Callithrix jacchus: one gene and its partners. The protein of the gene in region 3 binds, or shares a complex with, the protein of the main gene of each other region. Links are inferred from orthologs where the notes say so. Each region holds a gene or a part of one and is shown on either strand. Other genes may lie near its edges.

Region 1 (6,233 bases), on a different chromosome or scaffold from region 3:
TTGCAACAACATGGATGGAACTGGTGGTAATTATATTAAGTGAAATAAGCCATGTACAGAAAGACAAACTTGGCATGTTCTCACTCATTTTGGGGAAGTTAAAAATTAAATAAATTGAACTCATGGAGAAAAAGAGTAGAATGATAGTTACCAGAGGCTGGGAAGGGTTTTTCGGAAGACTGGGGAAGATGGTTACTGTGACGGTTGCTGGAGACTGGGGAGATGGTTAATTAAGCAATCTAATGAATAATATCTAGCATTTGATAGCGCAACAGGGTGACTATAGTCAACAATAATGTATTGTACCTTTAAAAAATAACTAAGTATAATTAGATTGTTTATAACACAAAGGATAAATCTTTGAGGTGATAGATACCACATTTACACTGATGTGATTATTACACATTGTATACTTGTATCAAAATATCTCAGGCACCCCATAATACATACACCTACTATGTACTTACAAAAATTAAAAACAAATCTATCTTTCGGTTCACTATTACTCTCTTCTGCTGTACCTAATCTGCTAAATTGATGTATTGAGTTCTTAATCTCAGTAAATTCTGTATTTTCAGTTCTAGAATATCCATTTGATTAATTTTAAGAGAGTCTGGTTCTTTGGGAAAGAATGTATTTGTTGAAATTATTACAGTTAAAATTTTAAATTCCTATCTGATAATCCCAGTATCTGCCTCACGTATGAATCACTGCTCCTATGATTTTTTTTTTTCTCTTAAATTTTAGTCATTTGGTCCTGTCTCCTGGCATACTTTGTAATTTTTGTTTAAGTGTGAAACATTGATATAAAAAAAACTATAGAGGTTCCAGATGGTATATTCTTCCAGAGATAATTTAATTTTCCTGTGGCAAGCAGAGCCAAGATAAATCACCTTGATCCAATCAAGAATTGAGTTGGTCTAAGGTCCGTTTCAGACTTCCAAGAACTGGCCTATTTCTAGTTTGCCCTACTTCTAGCTGAAACACCCTTCAGGGCCTCTTGTTTATGGTAGTCCCCGAACTCCAATTTTTCTGTGAAAGCTTCATAAGAATGTCAAAACTCTGCTTAATACTTTAGCTTCTTTTTTTTTTTATATTTAATCAATAGGTATATATTTATTTATTTATTTATTTATTTTCTTATTTTTTTATTGCATTTTAGGTTTTGGGGTACATGTGCAGAGCATGCAATACAGTTGCATAGGTACACACATGGCAGTGTGTTCTGTTTGCTTTAGCTTCTTAGCAGCTACTTTCAGCTTGGTGGCTTAGCCTTGCATTCCACAAAGCTGAGAACTTGGCAAATGCCTTGGGGATAAAAACCGCACAGAACAGTTGTTTCCCTAGCTCAGTAACACTGCTGATAGCTCTAAGTTTCCATTTTCTGTTTGGCCTCTATGCCTTATGCCATAAATTGGCAAATGCTAAATAAAAAAAAGAGGCAGAGAAAGTCTGGCTGTCTATAGCATGTTTCCTTTTTCTCTGGGATCTTAGTCTCTCAATCCTGGCTACCATGGTTGTTCTCCATTGCCTTCAAGCAGCTGTTGGTTCTATTTTACGTACTCCTAATAATTGTTCTTGCTGAGCAACTTGGTCTGATAAAAGCTAAATTGTCTTAGGAAGAAGTAAAAGTCTCTTCATTCATTATATATTAGTCACATATCATAAGCCATTAAAATAACATAATTCTAAGATGGAAGAAATTTGGTAATGTTTAGAAAGGATAATACAAATAAGTAAAAACTGTCAGCCCTGAAAAGTTAAAATTAAGTAGTTTTTGAAAGCTAGAAAACTTTTTATTTGTAAAACTCAGAAATATGAAATACTTTATATAAATATCAAGTGAAATACTTGAGTTTTTCAAGATCTTCCTTTGATAATATAAATCCAGTACCCCATTCAGGGCAATTTATCCCAAGTATGCTTAAATATGAATTGAGTCTAATTACAAAAAATAAAAAAGCAACAGAAAACAACATATAAAGATGATCTTATATAACTATAGAAACCCATCCAGTTTATGTTTAATCATACCTTGCTAATTTCCGTTTCCTTTTGGCAGCAGCAGTCATTGCCATGTAGGATGGCACCATGCTTCGTATAGGCATAGACTGCTTAGATGAGAATGAAGGGTCAAGCCTGTATATCAAAGTGACAAATAAAATATAATAATTTTGATTTAAACTATGAAGAAAAAAGGAAGCAAACATTACCATAATTAGAAAACTATTTGTTATTAATATATAAAGAAAAACATTCTGCTATACCATACAGATTTTCTTGCTTGACTGGGGTTTTCTTTTCTCTTTTTAATATACGTAAAGTTGCTATCAAGAGATTTCTTCATTCCCAATGGCATAGAATAGTGAAGGTATTTTTCTTTCGATATTTAGATTGGGCATGATTATACAGATAAAGTGAGAAGGATATGTTTGCTTGGATGACACACATTCAACCATACTTTAGCGATATGACTATTTCAGAGTAAGATGAGTTTTTAATAGAAAGTGTGGAATTTCCTTCAGTGAAAATATTAATAAATAAACATAATAAGCTGCCAATGACAGCTTTTATAACCCAATTTCAGGGTAAGAGAACAAACTAACATATATCTTAAGGTCTCTGGTAGTCTAATGAGGGTCAATTGACTTAAGATATCAAATTTAAGACTTTAAAATATTGTGTTAGTGAGTTAATATTCAGAGAGAAAAATAATTAAAATTTAATGAAAGTAAAACAGACTGTTTTATAATCAAAATAGCACATGTGGTTTATCAAATAATCTCAACTAATAGTTGAAAGTCTACATTAAGAAAAAAAAAGAATTGGCAAACTTTTTTTGTACCGTTGTAAAATGTTTTTGTTGTCATTTAGTAGTGATTCTTGTTCAGGTAATTTACACTGTAAGCTCTTGGTGTCTTCACATATAGTAAATGTAGAGTCCAAGACCTCCTGTCCACATTCTTCTCTTCTGTTATGAGGGATAGCTACTTCACACAACATTTTCAGAGAATTACCACTGTTTATGTTTGAGCTGATAGCCTGAAAACTTGTCGTAAATGATGATGGTTTTATTAAAGTTACTGTAGATGGATTTTGAAAAGTTTTTCTACAGTCTTCTGGTGTATACACAATAGGCTGAAGTTCTTTACAAAGAGAATCATTGAGCTGCACACTTTCAGATAATGGAGATTTTACAGTATGCTGTCCTTTCAAGGGAGATGGCATTAGTTTTCTCCGAGTTCTTTTTTGTGGAGGAATCTTAAGCAGATTAGATTCACTTGAAGATGTGCCTGTTCAAAAAATAAAAAATAAAAAAGACACTCAATAATGTTTCCTAGTTTTTAAAAAATAACTCCATTAGTTTTAAAACTAACAAACCCTAATAATGTATTCTTATGGCAATTGATAAAAATCTGAAAAATATAAGTTGGAAAGGAAAATATCATAGTTAACTACTAAAAACTTTAAATAAAGTTGATAAACTCATTATAAAGAAATTCTATAACATAAAATAAATACATTGCTAATGTCAATATTAATTTATAGGCATAACTTTCTTGAGATATTGGGTAATTAGGGAACAAATTTCCATTCAATTCCAACAAAATTCATAATTCCTAGCTTTCATGTTTGATTTGGGTTTAAGATGAAAATAGTATTCAACTTTTAATACTGTTTTTTAAACACTTGTTCCATCGTAAAATGTTATTAGTTTATTACTTTTGTCTTGTTTTTTAGATTCAAGGGTACATGCATAGGTTTGTTATATGAGAATACTGGGTGATGCTAGTATTTGGGTGTCCGTGGTCAGTTTATTACTAATTGAGTGGAAGTCTAGTCTAAATTAACAAGAATGGAAACAACCAGTAAAATTCTGAGTGAATGAAAGGATTGTTTTTGTTAAGTGTCAGGTATACAGAGTTAACCCTGGGTAGCTGCAGATTCTGCATCTGTGGATTCAACCAACTGCACACTGAAAATATTCAGAAAACAAACAAACCAAAATTAAAAAAAAAAATAAAAATATATAGTATAACAACCATTTTATGGCATTTGTATTGGATTAGGTATTATAAGTAATCTAGAGATGATTTAAAGTACACAGAAGGATATGTGTAGCCTATATACTATGCCATTCTATGTAAGGGACTTGAGCATTCATAGATTTTGGTATCTGGATGGGTTCCTGGAATCAACGTGCTTATCCCCAGGATACTGAGAGAAAACTATAGTCAGTTATGCAGTCTAGTTAACTGATTTGTCTCCTATATAATACGCAACTCATAGGTTTGCAAAAATGAGATTTAATACTAAAGATAAATGAAATAACTCCGAGTTCAGAGTACTTTTACCCTCACCACTCTGTAGAAGTCAATCTCCTAAATGTCAAGAGGTCACCAAGTCTGATGATCTTTCTTAGCTGTATCTAATAGCTTCTGTAGCTTTTCAAAATTATATCTTTACTATTTCAACATCTGTGTTATTCTCTTCTTCTTCCATCCAGTAAATGTACACATTTCCCTAAGGAGCTGTACTTGACTCTCTAGTTGTCTTGTTCCACAGTTTCTCATATTTCTAATTACACTTTTATTATTACCTTCTGTCACCTGGGTTCCAAATTACTAGATTTTTGTTTTCTTTTCCTTTTCCCTTGCATTTCCCAATCTCTATCAATCTGTCTTTCTTTCTTTTTTCTTTTTTTTGAGAAAGAGTTTCGCTCTTGTTACCCAGGCTGGAGTGCAATGGCGCGATCTTGGCTCACCGCAACCTCCACCTCCTGGGTTCAGGCAATTCTCCTGCCTCAGCCTCCTGAGTAGCTGGGATTACAGGCACGCGCCACCATGCCCAGCTAATTTTTTGTCTTTTTAGTAGAGATGGGGTTTCACCTTGTTGACCAGGATGGTCTCGATCTCTTGACCTTGTGATCCACCCGCCTCGGCCTCCCAAAGTGCTGGGATTACAGGCGTGAGCCACCATGCCCGGCCCTCACTTCTGTCTTTCTTATGCTTATAGTTAAAACATAATTTTGTTTATGTCATCCTTCTGATTAAAGACTTTGTAGTAACCTTTAAACAGAAACAAAATATGCTATTATTTTTAGTTGGGGAATTCATGGTCCTTGCTCCAAAATTAAGAAACAAATTGTTTACAATATTAGATTTAGTATTTAATACTTAACATTTAAAAACACGAGCATCTGGTAAACACCTTTTATTAATGTTCAAAATAATAAATGACATATGTAACAATACAGTTGATCAACTTCAGTGTGATTATCTTAAATTTTTCAATTAACTTTTCTCTACCTACTTCATTCTGGTGAACTTCATGATGTCTGACACAAAATACTTTTTTTGGAGTGTACTGTCAATGGAAGAAACTATGTGTATTTCCATTCATGCTGTCTGATCATGAAGTAAAATTCCCAGTTGATGTTATATTTACTTTACTACATAATACTAACTTAAAGAACATTGAAAGCAGAATAAGTGTTGCTCATTTCAATAAAGCAATTCAAACTTTCAACCAAGTTAGAAAATACACCTAAAGCAATCAGCAACAGTACATGTATTATTCTTATTATATTACTTGACAATATGCTCTGCTATGGCTAGGTTGATAATTACCCTCTAGGAAATAAAATTTAAAAACAGAAGAAAAATATGATCCCTGTTCTTTTAAGGAATTTTACTTTTCTGAGAACTAGATAAATGAGATCCAGATCTTAAAATAATTTTCCACTTCCTTTAACATGACATTTGTCAAATTTTCCACTACCAGATATTTTTATACTAATACTACAGTGTAAAGACAGTTACTTTTCTCCACTGTGCTGCTATCACCAATTTGGTGGCTATTTATAGCTGGAAGATTAACTTCTTTTCCCACAAGAGGCAGCAGGGGTATAGAGGATAGAAAACTACATGGAGGATAGAGGACTGAATTGGGAGTCAGGAGACTTGGATTCTATTTCTGGCTCCACCAACAGCTCACTGAGTGACCTTGGGCAACTTACTAAGCAGTGTGGGCATTAATACAACTTTTTCAGGAAAAGTTGTAATTTACTTTCCAATAATGAATAACTAACTTACTGTTATCTCTGAACAATATATTGCATACAATGCCTCACTTTCGGTTTATCAGATATCTAGTTTGTCAAGGTTGATGATTAATATAAACCACAAGTATTATTGAAACAGGTATAGATGGTATTTGCAAATGCAGAGTTT
Region 2 (6,233 bases), on a different chromosome or scaffold from region 3:
AACTCTGATTAACAAATTTAAATTTAAATAATTTACTATGTAAGTTCAACAGACATCTCAACAGGAAAAATCTGCTTAAAACACCTAGTGCATTAAATATATTAGTAAAGAGCTAGAAGCATGCTCTTTTTCTTCATGACCAAGTAGTTGCTACTATGAGAGTTTAATATTTAAAGTAAAATGCCCAACTGATCAATATTAACACTACAACAAGTGAACACTAAAAGAAAACCAGCGTGCATGCTTGTGTATTTAGACTTTACCTAGTAAGTTCTTTGAATTCTTCATATTCTTGCTTTGAATTATTCAGCTCTGTCTGAATTTGCAGGAGTTGTGCTTTTAACTTCTCAGTGTTTGCAAATGAACATGGCTCTTTCTGAGCTTTAGGAGAAAATCCTTGCTGATCTGTTAATAAGAAAATAATCTAAGTCTTTTTTTTTTTTTTCCAAGACAGGGCCTCACTATGTTGCCCAGGCTAGAGTGCAGTGGCTATTCGCAAGCATGATCATAGTGTAGTAAAGCCCCAAATTCTGGTCTGAAGTGATCTTCCTGCTTTAGCCTCCCAAGCAGTTGGGACTGCAGATGCATGCCACCATCCCTATCTTTACAACTTCAGTGTTTGAAAAAGAAAAATAACAGGACACATTTTCTAAGTTCTCTGTCACAGGAGGAAAATTTGGGCCACAAGGAGGAAAAATGAGAAGTGGGTTGGAAGGTGAGCCCTAAAATATAAAAGCTTATAACTAAGCAGAAGGCACAGGATGTGACACAGTGTGCCAAAGGGGATTAGAAGTCATGTTTAAGAAGCAGAAGCCACAGGATGGAGAAGCATAGTTAAGACAACACCTTTTCCATTATGAGGATGAACAAACAATGACAAAAGTATGGCACATTTAATACTAGCTGGAGAAACAGCAGCCATTGAATCTTGCAGGAATAAGTAGCAGCTAATGTTAACAGCCAAGAAATTATTTAGAAAAGTAACATATAGCAAGGGCAGCAGGTTGTAAGAACCCAGTATCATGTGTCAGGTAGAAAATATTAATTTTCAGAAAATGCTTAGAAGACTATGTTGAAGAGAGTCCACTGAGTTGCAGTGTGGGGAAATCTCATGTAAAAGTTGTTTACAGAATGATAAATGTTTAGAAACTGATGAGATCCAGACATTAGTATCTTCTAAAAGGAGTAAGTCAAGGTACCACAGGGCCCAAAACAAAATGGTCAACAAAATAAAGGGCATTGTAGGGAAAAGTAGTTTAAATAAAACAGAAAACCTAAGGGAGGCATGGTGGCTCACACCTGTAATCCCAGCACTTTGGGAGGCCAAGGCCAGTGGATCATTTGAGGCCAGAAGTTCAAGACCAGCCTAGCCAATATGGCAAAACTCTATCTCTACCAAAAATATAAAAATTGGCTCGGCACGGTGGTGTATGCCTGTAATTCCAGGAGGGAGGCTGACGCAAAAGAATCGCTTGAACGTAGGAGGTAGAGGTTGCAGTGAGCAGAGATTGCACTATAGCCTAGGCAACAAAGTGAGAAAAAACAACAGAAAACCTCCTTCTCAAAAAACAACAGAAAACCTATGGCTCAAAAAAAAACAGAAAACCTGATAGTAATTCTGCATCTAACATCTTAGTCTTTCCCCAACCCAGTTACTCTGAATCTTATTCTATTCAGTCATAACAGAATGGACGGTTTAAAAAAAATGAAATTTTAAAAAGCAAAGAGATAGTCTTCTTTATGAATGTAGAAAAAAAAAAGATTAGAACTTTCTCAATTTCAACCTAAAATGAAACAAATGCCAAGTCTATGATAAAATACCATGGAAATATTAACTCTAATACTGGGCAAACACAGGCTTTGTTACTAAATCCCAGGGCACTAACACCAACAGCTGTCAAGCCTATAAGGCAGATTTAGTACTAACTAAACCACTTTTCACATAGTATGTGAAACTCATGAAAGTAACATGTAAAAACAGAGTGAGTACACTGGTACCACAACATCAGGACCCAAACGCTGTACTGGATGGATTATGAGTCTGACCTCTCTACATCTCTTATATTGCACGGACCTAACTGGATTGATAAACTCTATGTTTTTTCATGTTTGATTAGTTAAGCACTTTTCATTTCAAATACTTTAAACAGGAAAATTTAATAAAAATTTGTATTATCTGAATCGATATTTCTATCAACAAAACAGAAATACAATGAGTATTTTCTTGTTATATCTATTAGCTTACATAGTTTATGCTCTGAGATTTTTGAGGAAAAAAAGTTTAGTAAATGCCTTTTTATAAAATAAAAGAATATGTGTATAAGACATCAGCACAGCAGGCCTGGAGGCTAAAATGAAGACCCTAGTCACAAGGTACTACAAATGCTCTTTAACAGCCCATTCCTATACGGCTTTATATACAACAATCATTTCTTACTTTTGTCACTTTTCTCTATGCCACTTATTTCAGAGAAAGCTTTTTCTAGTTTTGCAATAGTCTGGACATCCATTTCTTGGGCTCTTTTCACAGGCTCTAATAATTTCAGTCTTCTGTTCTCTTCCCTGAGGGAATGATTTTCCATAGCATACTTGGCAACTCTGGGATGGTGCTCTATCTGTGACACAGAAGAATAACATGCATTATATATTTACATTTCCTAAGTGAATTAGTTCCTCTAAAAAGCCATTAGAAAACTAGGTATGCACATGCACTGCTAGTGGTGCCCTTCTGCAACCACTGTGGAAAGCAACTTGGCATTTGTGATGAGTTTGAAAATATGCGTGTCTTGTAACTCTGCTATTCTCATTTGGCGTCTAGACCCTTGAAATGTTCACCCACCTAAGGAGGTAAGCACAAGGGTATACATTATGGAAGGCTTTTCATGCAAAGGAGACTAGTTAAATCAACACACCGAAAATAACAAGGACCAAATGAATCTTGTTGACCAAGATTAACTGAAAAAAGCAAAGCACAGAAAAATGTATAGGAGAAACAAAAGTAAAAATATCCATCCACCCATATTAGTTTGAATGTTCATTAAAACTCTGGAGAGATAAATAAGCTGAGAAGAGATTTTGTTTTTTTCCACAATGTACCTGCATGACCTATCCGTCATTCCTAGGGAAAAGGAAAAACGACAAAAAATTTAAAAGGCACAACTCTAAAGAGGCAACTGACTCAGATAACCACAACCGCCCATGGGGTGAAATTCTGCATGGCCTGCTGGAGTTGCATACTACCTAGTGACGTCACCACAAATTCTTCCTTTTTCCCTACTCTTCCCTTTAAAACTATTTTGAAAAGGCAGGTAAAGGATTTATGCAATCACACTGTCAGTAGAATTCATTTACAACAATTTCTATTGCATTAAAGAACAAGGACTTGGTGACAAATTTACATTGGAACTTCTTTTATTTTTAGAAATATTATAGATGCCCTATACTCACTTGTTCTCGCAGAGTTTGAATCTCTTCCCTTAATTCTGAGAGCAAACGATCCTGCTCCTCAGGCAGAAAAGCTCCCCGGGATTCCTTGTGAAGCTTTTCCAAGCGTATTATTTGATCCTCTCGGAATTTCACAATCATTTTATTAGACTGAATAAATTTTTCCTTTTTGAGGGTGAGGTCTTCTAATTGGGTAACTTTTTCTATCAGAGACTTAAAGAAATTCATAATTTGGTTAAACATGAAAAATAATTCAGCTTACCTATATTTTTATAAGCCCAGCAACAAATACTAACTTCAAATTTAATCTTAAAAACAAAATTAGATTTCTCATGGCCTTCCATTACTTTCTTTATTTACTTGGTATTATTTATTTCACTTAGTAAGGCAATTAAAACCACATAGTGAAAACCTCAAATATCCTGAATCTCCTTTATTACTAATTCAATTTCCTACCTTCTTTTCCTGTTCAGATTTCATAAAGAATAGCATTGCTTCCCGGAAATATTCCACATAGTTAGTCTTCTCTTTGTCTGTAATTGATCCAGTAAGAAAGGGAAGAAGAAAAAAAATATTTAACACATTTCAAAACCAAGAGAACAGATAGCCGTTAATTGCTTGCTCTCAACTAATCTAAAAGAATGAGACTGTGGCCGGGCATGGTGGCTCATGCCAGTAATTCCAGCACTTTAGGAGGCCGAGGCCGGTGGATCACTTGAGGTCAGGAGTTTGAGACCAGTCTGACCAATATGGTGAAACCCTGTCTCTACTAAAAATATAAAAATTAGCTGGACATGGTGGTGTGTGCTGGTAGTCCCAGCTACTCAGGAGGCTGAGGCGGGAGAACCACTTAAGCCCAGGAGGCAGAAGTAGCAATGAGCCAAGATTGTGCCACTACACTTCAGCCTGGGCAACACAGCGAGACTCCATCTCAAAAAAAAAAAAAAAGAGAGAGAGAGACTGTCATCACCAGATCATGGATTTCAAATTAATCATTCCACATATTAGTTGTTCTTCAAAGAAAAATAAGTTTCTCTTTAGATCTATTAATAATTCACCCTCTTGGCTTTATGGATTTCCAGTTACTTAATTATCCACTAGCTATTCTTTGAAGAAAAATAATTCTCTCTTGTCTTATAGTAAGCATATATAGATTACATATGCTATGGAGAAGCAGATCTAAGTGAATCTCTTTTTAGTACTTATTATGGATTATTAAAAATTATCTTAATTCCTCCTTCTACCATATCTCACAGAACTCACTGCCTATGGTATCTGTATCTGATTACAAACAAAGCACTATGTTCCTACATAGGAGAAATAAGCAGAAAGAGATACTCGTGGAAAAAGCTGTGCTGCCTTACTGTGTGTGTCTATCACCAAGGGCTCTTAAACTATTATTTGTACACAGTCTTCCCCAAGATAAAGGCCAGCATACTCATCGTACCTCTGGTCAGGAAGCTTTCTGGTGGTGTCCGTCCTGAAGCAAGCTCAGCCAGTTGTTCTTTGAGCCTCTTTACTTCAGCTTGGAGCTGGCTCACATTTCCTTGGGTGTCTTCATTTACTACTGCCTGTTCAAGAATTTTTTAAGAAGCATTAAATAATGCTTTTTGAGTAGTAGAGTTCTGTGTTTACATTTGCTTGGTATGATTTGTAGTGATTAACATCAAACAAAACTTCATGACCACCTAATAGTCAAAAGGCCACAGGAATTACAGTATGTTCGAATGGGGAGGAAGATTCCTTTTCTTGTGCCTTCAGATCTGGAACCAGAGACAGCCTCAGGCAAGCTCTCTTCCCTGCAGCTGACCAGCCCTGAGCTGTTAGGCTGGGTCACACTTTGGATCCGGGTGTGTTCACCTAACACTTCCTTCCCTGAGAACAACAGCCTTTCCCCACCCTCCCAATGGAGAAGAGCAAACACCTAATGAGTATCATTTCCACTCTTTCCTAGCTCCCTATGGGGAAGGAGCCAAGCCTCTAAGCCTGTGGTGACATGCAGGGCTTGCTTGAGCTCGGCAGAAGCAACCTTCCCCAGAGGAATCCAACCTTTATTTTTTAATAACCCTCTTGGAAGAAGGGGTTGGTTTGACACTTCCATTTTTTTTTTTTAACCACACTAAATGATACCTTCATTTTCTAAAAGAAATGTCTTCTTTAAGACAACTCCTAAAAGGCTAAAGGGCTCCCAAACAAAATGTGCCACTATGGGGATGTCAGGAGTGAGGGAGGTCACACATGTGTGGTGACAGGGAATATATGGGATCTCTCTGTAAGTTCTGTTCAATTTTGCAGTGAACCTAAAACTGCTATAAAGTTTATTAATTAAAAAAATACATTTTTTTCTTTTTTGAGACAAGAGTTTCGCTCTTGTTGCCCAGGCTGGAGTGCAATGGTGTGATCTCGGCTCACTACAACCTCTGCCTCCCGGATTCAAGCGATTCTCCTGCCTCAGCCTCCCGGGTAGCTGGGATTACAGGCATGCGCCACCATGCCCAGCTAATTTTTTGTATTTTTAGTAGAGACGGGGTTTCTCCATGTTGATCAGGCTGGTCTCAAACTCCCGACCTCAGGTGATCCACCCGCCTCGGCCCCGCAAAGTGCTGGGATTACAGGCCTGAGCCACCACACCTGGCCTAAAAAAATAAAGTTTTAAAAAGGTCAACAAAACCTAAAGGGTGATAACAAGTGCCAAAAGCTGAGTACCAACCAGGTCAGAGGACTCAGCTGTGAAATACACAGTACTCCAGCAAGGAAAAAACATCCTGTAACAGCCCCAAGGTCTTCTG
Region 3 (6,233 bases):
GAGCCACCGCACTCAGCCATGAATGATATTTTAATGTTTTCTAACTTTGTAATGTTATTGAAAAAATATTCCTCTCTAGTTTCAAATATGCTAATATCTCTGAGGTATCAAAAAAATAAAACCAATGCTCACAAGAAAATAAAAGGGGAAATGGAAGTTTTTATTAGTGAAATAAGTCTGTTTATTTTCTTTCCAACAAGGCCTTTTGCTCCTATAATTGAGACAAACCATTTTACACTTTATAATAACATAACTTAGTTTTTAGTATTTTCAAAAGGGAAAGATTTTGAGTGGGGGGAATTTAGGAAATCAAATATTTTAGAAAGAGTAACTACAGAGTTACTTTTTCAATTTTAATACAGTAACAGACTTGACTACCAGGTATATTACCCAGCATTTTTTCTTACAAGGAATCTATCAAGTACTAGCCAACAAATAATCTACATTTAAAAAGGTTTATATTTAAATAGAAACAAGCATCGAAAATACAAAAATCACATGTCTTTAACAAGGCAATTTACATAATTAGGTGTAAATTATTAATTAACTTTATGTTCCTTAGGATCCTAGCAAACACTCAGTTTACTGTATTTCAAGCTCAAACTGCACTCAACTGGCTATAAAGGTAAACATCACAATGGAATTGCGCCAGTTTGACTAGGGAAAAAGATCACTTCAACATTATGCATTTCCTTTCTTTAAAAGCAGGGATTAAGTCAGGGCCATCTTGGTTCTGAATCTCTCCATTTTTGCTGGGAGAAGACTAACCATCTCTTTACTAAGTTCTAGCTCAACTTCTATTTCCTGGGCAGCCTCAGGATGCTTTTCACAGTAATCAACAATAAATTTGTAATGTTCCAATGATGTTGCCAGATTTTCCAGCTCTTTCTTGGGATCCATAGTAATGATTTTGCCATAGAGACTGGCAACTCGAAACTTCGCTAACATGGCAGGGCGAAGAACATCTTCCCCTATATGCTCAGGAAATACTTTATTTGGGTCTCTCAGGGAGTCTAAGAAGAGCTGGTAGTACTTCAATGCTGACTTATTAAGATTATTTATTTTTTTTACAATGTGTGAATCAGGATCCCTTAGCCTGTCAGCAATGGTGACCTTCAAATCCATCATATCATAGTAAGCATGTGCAATTTCAAACTGGATCTGTCTGTTGACCAACAGATAATACTGTGGATTCAGGTCTACAGTTAGGGGCTCTAGCATGGCTATTCTGCGTTTATGCATCTTGCACCGTCTCTCCATGTCAGTTTCAAAGAATGCAAGCACCTTAAACAGAGCACTGTGGTCTTGGACAACTTCAATATGGTCAGTGACATAACCATCAATCTGAAAGAACTGTTTGGCCTCAAAGACATAGTGCTGACCCAATAAGAAAAGTTCTCTGGCTTCTTCAAAATCTAAAGGTTTCAAGTAGCTCACTTTCTCTTCTACTGCAGAGATGGCATCACACAGTTCACCAGTTCCAAATTGCACAGCTTTTTTCCGAATGCTTTCCTCCTCATCCAGTTCTTTTTTCCTTAAAGCTCTAAGTTCAGACTGTTTATCTAGGTCAAGCTCTCCTATGTTGTCCTGAAGAAAAAAGAAATTATGGTTAAGTAGAACGCTCACCTCCTGTTGTTAAAAAATATTAAAGCAAACTTCAGAGTAAAGAAAAGTCTCTTACTTTCCAGCCTGGTTTAGGGAGGTATCATAATCTTAAACACCTTTGAAAACTACTTTCTTTCTTCCAATCATATTAAAAACTCAGCAAATGTGAAAAAAGAGTATTTAAATAAATTAGACAAGCTGCTTATATATAATTTATTCTAAGGAACTGAAATTCATTTACAGTTACTCCTTCCAGTAAGATAAATGTTACATGTAAAAGTACTTTGAAAATTGTGAAACATTACATTCACATGATATATTAACAGTATTTATTTTTTAACATTGTAATAAGACTGTAATCTACATAAAAATATTTCACAAGGATGCAATTAAGATTAATGCTACCATGTTTATGCTGTTAAGCTTTTAATGAAATATATCAGAGAGAAATGCTCTAGGTCTCTTAAAGACATCAAAGTGAAGAAAGAGTTAAATCTACTTCATAAAGTTTTATTTATCTCCCCTGCCTTTTGGCAGGAGGAGCAAATTAAAAAAAGAAAAGAAAAAAGAACTAAGATGGTTAAAAAATAGAGTAAGCTCTTCTTGGCCAATAAAATTAAATAACAGATCCCAAGGCCTTTTCTTCTTTTCACTTGACATTGTCTCACTAGTGATCTTTCCACAAACCCTTCAAGGTTAAGTGTTCAAAAGATGAAGACAACAATGCTTCAAAGCCTTGATTGCTCCAACCCCTTTCTAACTCTAACTTTACCTTATATCACACTCCCTCTCCCCCAGCTCCAACATCAAAGCCTTTGGTCCATCCCTTCTGATACCATCCTCCCTTACGCTAGGGAACTCCTAAACATGCTGTTTCAGCTCCTTGGAATGGTGTGCCTCCTTTTCTTCAGTCTAGGTAACTCCTACTCACTCATCCCTAGAGCTTGCTTTTTATTTCCTCCTATTGTGCCTTCTCATATCATGTGTCTCTCCTTTGTGGAACTTAACAAAATTGTACTTTTACATGAAGTCAAAGGCTAAATCCATTTTTGTTCATCATAGTATCCTTGGCCAATGATACTTTTATTTAGCAAAGTGTTGGCATAAATAAATACTTAATTGAATAAATTTGTGTATGTCTTTAAGCTTCAACTGAAGAAGGCCTTTCAGATAAATACACAGATAGATAAAGAATGAAGTTAAGGTTAAATAAGAAAGTCAGGGCCAAGTGCAGTGGCTCACACCAGTAATCCCAGCACTTTGGGAGGCCGATGTGGGTGGATGCTTGAGCTCAAGAGTTTAAGATCAGCCTGTGCAACATAGTGAAACATGGTCTAAAAAAATACAAAGAATTAGCCAGGCACAGTGGCACACACCGATGGTCCCAGTTACTTGGCAGGCCGATGTGGGAGGATCGCTTGAGCCAGAGAGGTGGAGGTTACAGTGAGCCGAGATCATGCCACTGCACTCCAGCCTAGGTGAGAGAGAACCCAACTCAAAAAACAAAATTCAGCCCCACCCAGCCCCACCTCTCCACGTGGGTGGTGGAGGCGTAGTGCTGCGACCTGGGTACCCCTTCGAACATAAAGCTGCGAGTGGTGTGGAGTGTGTGGGCCGTTCTCTGCACCCTGTGCGCAGTCCAGTCACCTGCAGCGTCCTGCCTGCCAAGGTCCTGGTCCTGGCAGCTGGGGGGCAGGCGCCATCCCAATGCTGCGCACGGGACCCGCTCTGATCTCAGTGTGTAAATTCACAGAGAAACAGGAATGGATAACAACAGAAAATGGTATTGGAATAGTGGGAATCAGCAATTTTGCACAGGAAACATTGGGAGACATTGTTTACTGTAGTCAGCTTAAAGTTGGCACGAAATTGAACAAACGATGAATTTGATGCTTTGGAAACTGTGAAAGATGCTAGTGAACTCTATTCTCCTTTATCGGAAGAAGTAACTCAAATTAATGAAGCCCTTGCAGAAAATCCAGGACATGTAAACAAATCTTGTTATGAGGATGGTTGGCTGATAAAGATGACACTGAGTAACCCTTCAGAACTAGATGAACTTATGAGTGAAGAAGCATATAAGAAATACATAAAATCTATTGAGGAGTGAAAACGGAACCTCTAAATAAACTAGTATGAAATAATGCAAAAAAAAAATCAGTTTAAGGAAAATCTGAGTAATTTAGTAGCATGGCAAATATGTGAGTTAAAACTAATCAAGTAATGAGGTTCTAAGTTCCTAGACTAGAAGCATTAACTAAATGAAAGATAAGGGTCAAATCACAGTGCATTTTACTTGATACAGTCACTTCAAATGTAGGTCGTAAGTTTCTAAATTTTGTATACTTCCTTCCTTCCTGGGCTGCTTGTTTATTTACTTGTTTTCTCTAGGATGCTTTCTTAAATTAGCCCACTGTTTTGTTCCAATAGTCCCTGTTTTGCTTCCAGTTTTCCTTACCTGATGAGAAGAAACCTGACAGTTCTTCCTGGCTCCAAATTCTCTAGACACAAAGCCCAACAGTTCTTCTATTTTGTTTTTTTGGTTTTTTTTGAGACAAAGTCTCGCTCTTGTCCCCAGGCTGGAGTGTAATGGCATGATCTAGGCTCACTGAAACCTCCACCTCCCTGGTTCAAGCGATTCTCCTGCCTCAGCCTCCTGAGTAGCTGGGATTACAGGCACCTGCCACTATGCCTGGCTAATTTTTGTATTTTCAGCAGAGACGGGGTTTCACCACGTTGGCCAGGCCGGTCTCCTGACCTTAGGTAATTCGTCTGCCTTGGCCCCTCAAAGTGCTGGGATTACAGGCAAGAGCCACCTCACCAGGCCTGTCTTTCCTTAATATGCCTCATCTTTACCCACTAGCCTCTAAAATGATCTTTATCTTTTCAAGACCTAAGATGATGTGTTGAGGTTTATTTGCTTAGTTTTCTTTTGTTTTACAAAGTTCTACATTATTTACCACTGATACGGTCTGGATTTGTGTCCCTGAACAAATCTCATGTCAAATTGGCAGAGAGACCTGGTGGGACGTGACTGGATCATGGGGGCAGACTTCCTCCTTGCTGTTCTTGTGGTAGTGACAGAGCTCTCTCACAAGATCTGATGGGTTTAAAGTGTGTGGCATTTCCTGGTTTGCTCTCTCTCTCTCCTGCTCTGCCATGGTAAGACATGCCTTCCCTTTCACCTTCTGCCATGATTATGAGTTTCCTGAAGTCTCCCAGTCATGCTTCCTGTTAAACCTGCGGAAATGGGAGTCAACTAACCTCCTTTCTTCATAAATTACCCAGTTTTAGGTAATTTATGAAGAAAATTACTTTTTTTTTTGAGATAGGGCCTCACTCTGTCACCCAGACTGGAGTGCAGTGGCGCAATCTTGGCTCACTGCGACCTCTGCCTCCCAGCTCAAGTGATTCTCCTGCCTCAGCCTCCTGAGTAGCTGGGACTACAGGTGCGCACCACCATGCCTGGCTAATTTTTTTGTATTTTTGGTAGAGACAGGGTTTCAACATGTTGCCCAGGTTGGTCTCAAACTCATGAACTCAAGTGATCCGCCCACCTTAGCCTCCCAAAGCGCTGGGATTACAGGTATGAGGTGCTGCGCCTGGCCTCAGGTAGTTCTTTATAACAGTGTGAGAACAGACTAATACAACCACTAATGATCATTACACTTTTATGAAGCAGAGTCCTACAAAATAAAAAAAAAAAAATGATCACGCTTTGATACACACAAAGAAAAACAGCAGCACAATGATTCCCCCAGGAAAGCTTCCTATGTATCCACACTTAGTATACTGCATCAAAATGATTAGTTTTATTATCCTCCCTATTGGTTAGGAACTAGAATTGGGCATAAATTAATAATGATGATGATAGTTAACATTTATTAAGGACTTAGTATGTCTCAGGCACTTTTCAGAGGCCTTAATATATACTGATTTAACTCTCATAACAACAGTATTAAGTAAGAACTATTATCTCCAACTTACTTGTGAGGAAATAAACGCAAAAAGATATTAAGTAAATTGCCACAAAGATACAGCTACGAAGTGGCAGAGCTGGAGTTCACACCTACCTAGTGTGTTTCCAGACTCCATGTTCTTCACTGCTTCTATTTTTGAACAATTACATGGGCTATTTCTTAAAAGTCTACCCTTTTAGATTTTATCAAGTTCATGCTGTGTGTAAGATAACACTGACAAATATATAAAGATTAATAAGGCCTTGGCCAGGTGCAGTGGCTCACGCCTGTAATCCCAGCACTTTGGGAAGCCGAGATGGGTGGATCACTTGAGGTCAGGAGTTCAAGATCAGCTTGGCCAACATGGTGAAACCCATCTCTACTAAAAATACAAAAATTAGCCAGGTGTGATGGCAGGGACCCATAATCCCAGTTATTCAGGAAGCGGAGGCAGGAAAATCCTTTGAACCTGGGAAAAGGTTACAATGAGCTGAGATCACGCCACTGTACTCTGGCACTCTAGCCTGGGCAACACAGCAAGACTCCGTCTCAAAAAAAAAAAGATTAGTAAGGCCAGGCACAGTGGTTCACGCCTGTAATCCCAGCACTTTGGGAGGCCAAGGAGGGAGGATCACTTGAGCCCAGGAGTTCAAGACCAGCCTGGGCAAT

What was found. The genes of interacting proteins can lie anywhere in the genome.
Region 1: the proteins of KIFBP (region 3) and KIF18A are in contact, whole or in part, in a cryo-EM structure (PDB 7RSI), measured with the Homo sapiens proteins. The link is inferred for Callithrix jacchus from reciprocal best matches to the Homo sapiens genes KIFBP and KIF18A. Residues at the interface, in NP_056449.1 of Homo sapiens: Ser150, Glu151, Tyr212, Tyr213, Gln216, His220, Gln238, Ile251, Asn252, Thr255, Gln258, Asn262, Gly414, Tyr415, Val459, Asp460, Leu461, Asn462, Pro463, Gln464, Leu467; in NP_112494.3 of Homo sapiens: Glu181, Thr183, Gln184, Lys185, Gly186, Arg274, Phe275, Val276, Glu277, Gly278, Thr279, Asn280, Ile281, Arg283, Ser284, Leu285, Leu288, Gly289, Val291, Ile292, Arg314, Lys317, Asp318, Gly322, Asn323.
Region 2: the proteins of KIFBP (region 3) and KIF15 are in contact, whole or in part, in a cryo-EM structure (PDB 6ZPH), measured with the Homo sapiens proteins. The link is inferred for Callithrix jacchus from reciprocal best matches to the Homo sapiens genes KIFBP and KIF15. Residues at the interface, in NP_056449.1 of Homo sapiens: Lys26, Tyr33, Lys36, Ile106, Glu109, Ile147, Ser150, Glu151, Glu153, Thr208, His209, Tyr212, Tyr213, Gln216, Gln219, His220, Phe224, Gln238, Glu248, Trp249, Ile251, Asn252, Thr255, Gln258, Phe259, Asn262, Tyr415, Val416, Thr417, Glu421; in NP_064627.1 of Homo sapiens: Leu187, Glu189, Ile191, Lys192, Lys193, Arg231, Glu232, Arg235, Arg271, Met280, Arg281, Leu282, Lys283, Glu284, Ala285, Gly286, Asn287, Asn289, Arg290, Leu292, Ser293, Gly296, Gln297, Ile299, Ala301, Val303, Asp304, Val305, Gly306, His312.

What each region holds. Positions count from the first base shown.
Region 1 is NC_133511.1:93,434,294-93,440,526, forward strand, and holds part of KIF18A (kinesin-like protein KIF18A), read right to left. Parts: intron 3,294-6,233; coding exon 2,846-3,293; intron 2,140-2,845; coding exon 2,035-2,139; intron 1-2,034.
Region 2 is NC_133516.1:27,560,868-27,567,100, reverse strand, and holds part of KIF15 (kinesin-like protein KIF15), read right to left. Parts: intron 5,016-6,233; coding exon 4,892-5,015; intron 3,978-4,891; coding exon 3,901-3,977; intron 3,658-3,900; coding exon 3,448-3,657; intron 2,616-3,447; coding exon 2,438-2,615; intron 406-2,437; coding exon 264-405; intron 1-263. UniProt on the Homo sapiens protein: Plus-end directed kinesin-like motor enzyme involved in mitotic spindle assembly.
Region 3 is NC_133513.1:61,064,004-61,070,236, forward strand, and holds the end of KIFBP (KIF-binding protein), read right to left. Parts: intron 4,058-6,233; exon of another isoform or gene 3,195-4,057; intron 2,497-3,194; exon of another isoform or gene 2,473-2,496; intron 1,588-2,472; coding exon 712-1,587; 3' UTR 140-711; downstream 1-139. UniProt on the Homo sapiens protein: Activator of KIF1B plus-end-directed microtubule motor activity. Required for organization of axonal microtubules, and axonal outgrowth and maintenance during peripheral and central nervous system development.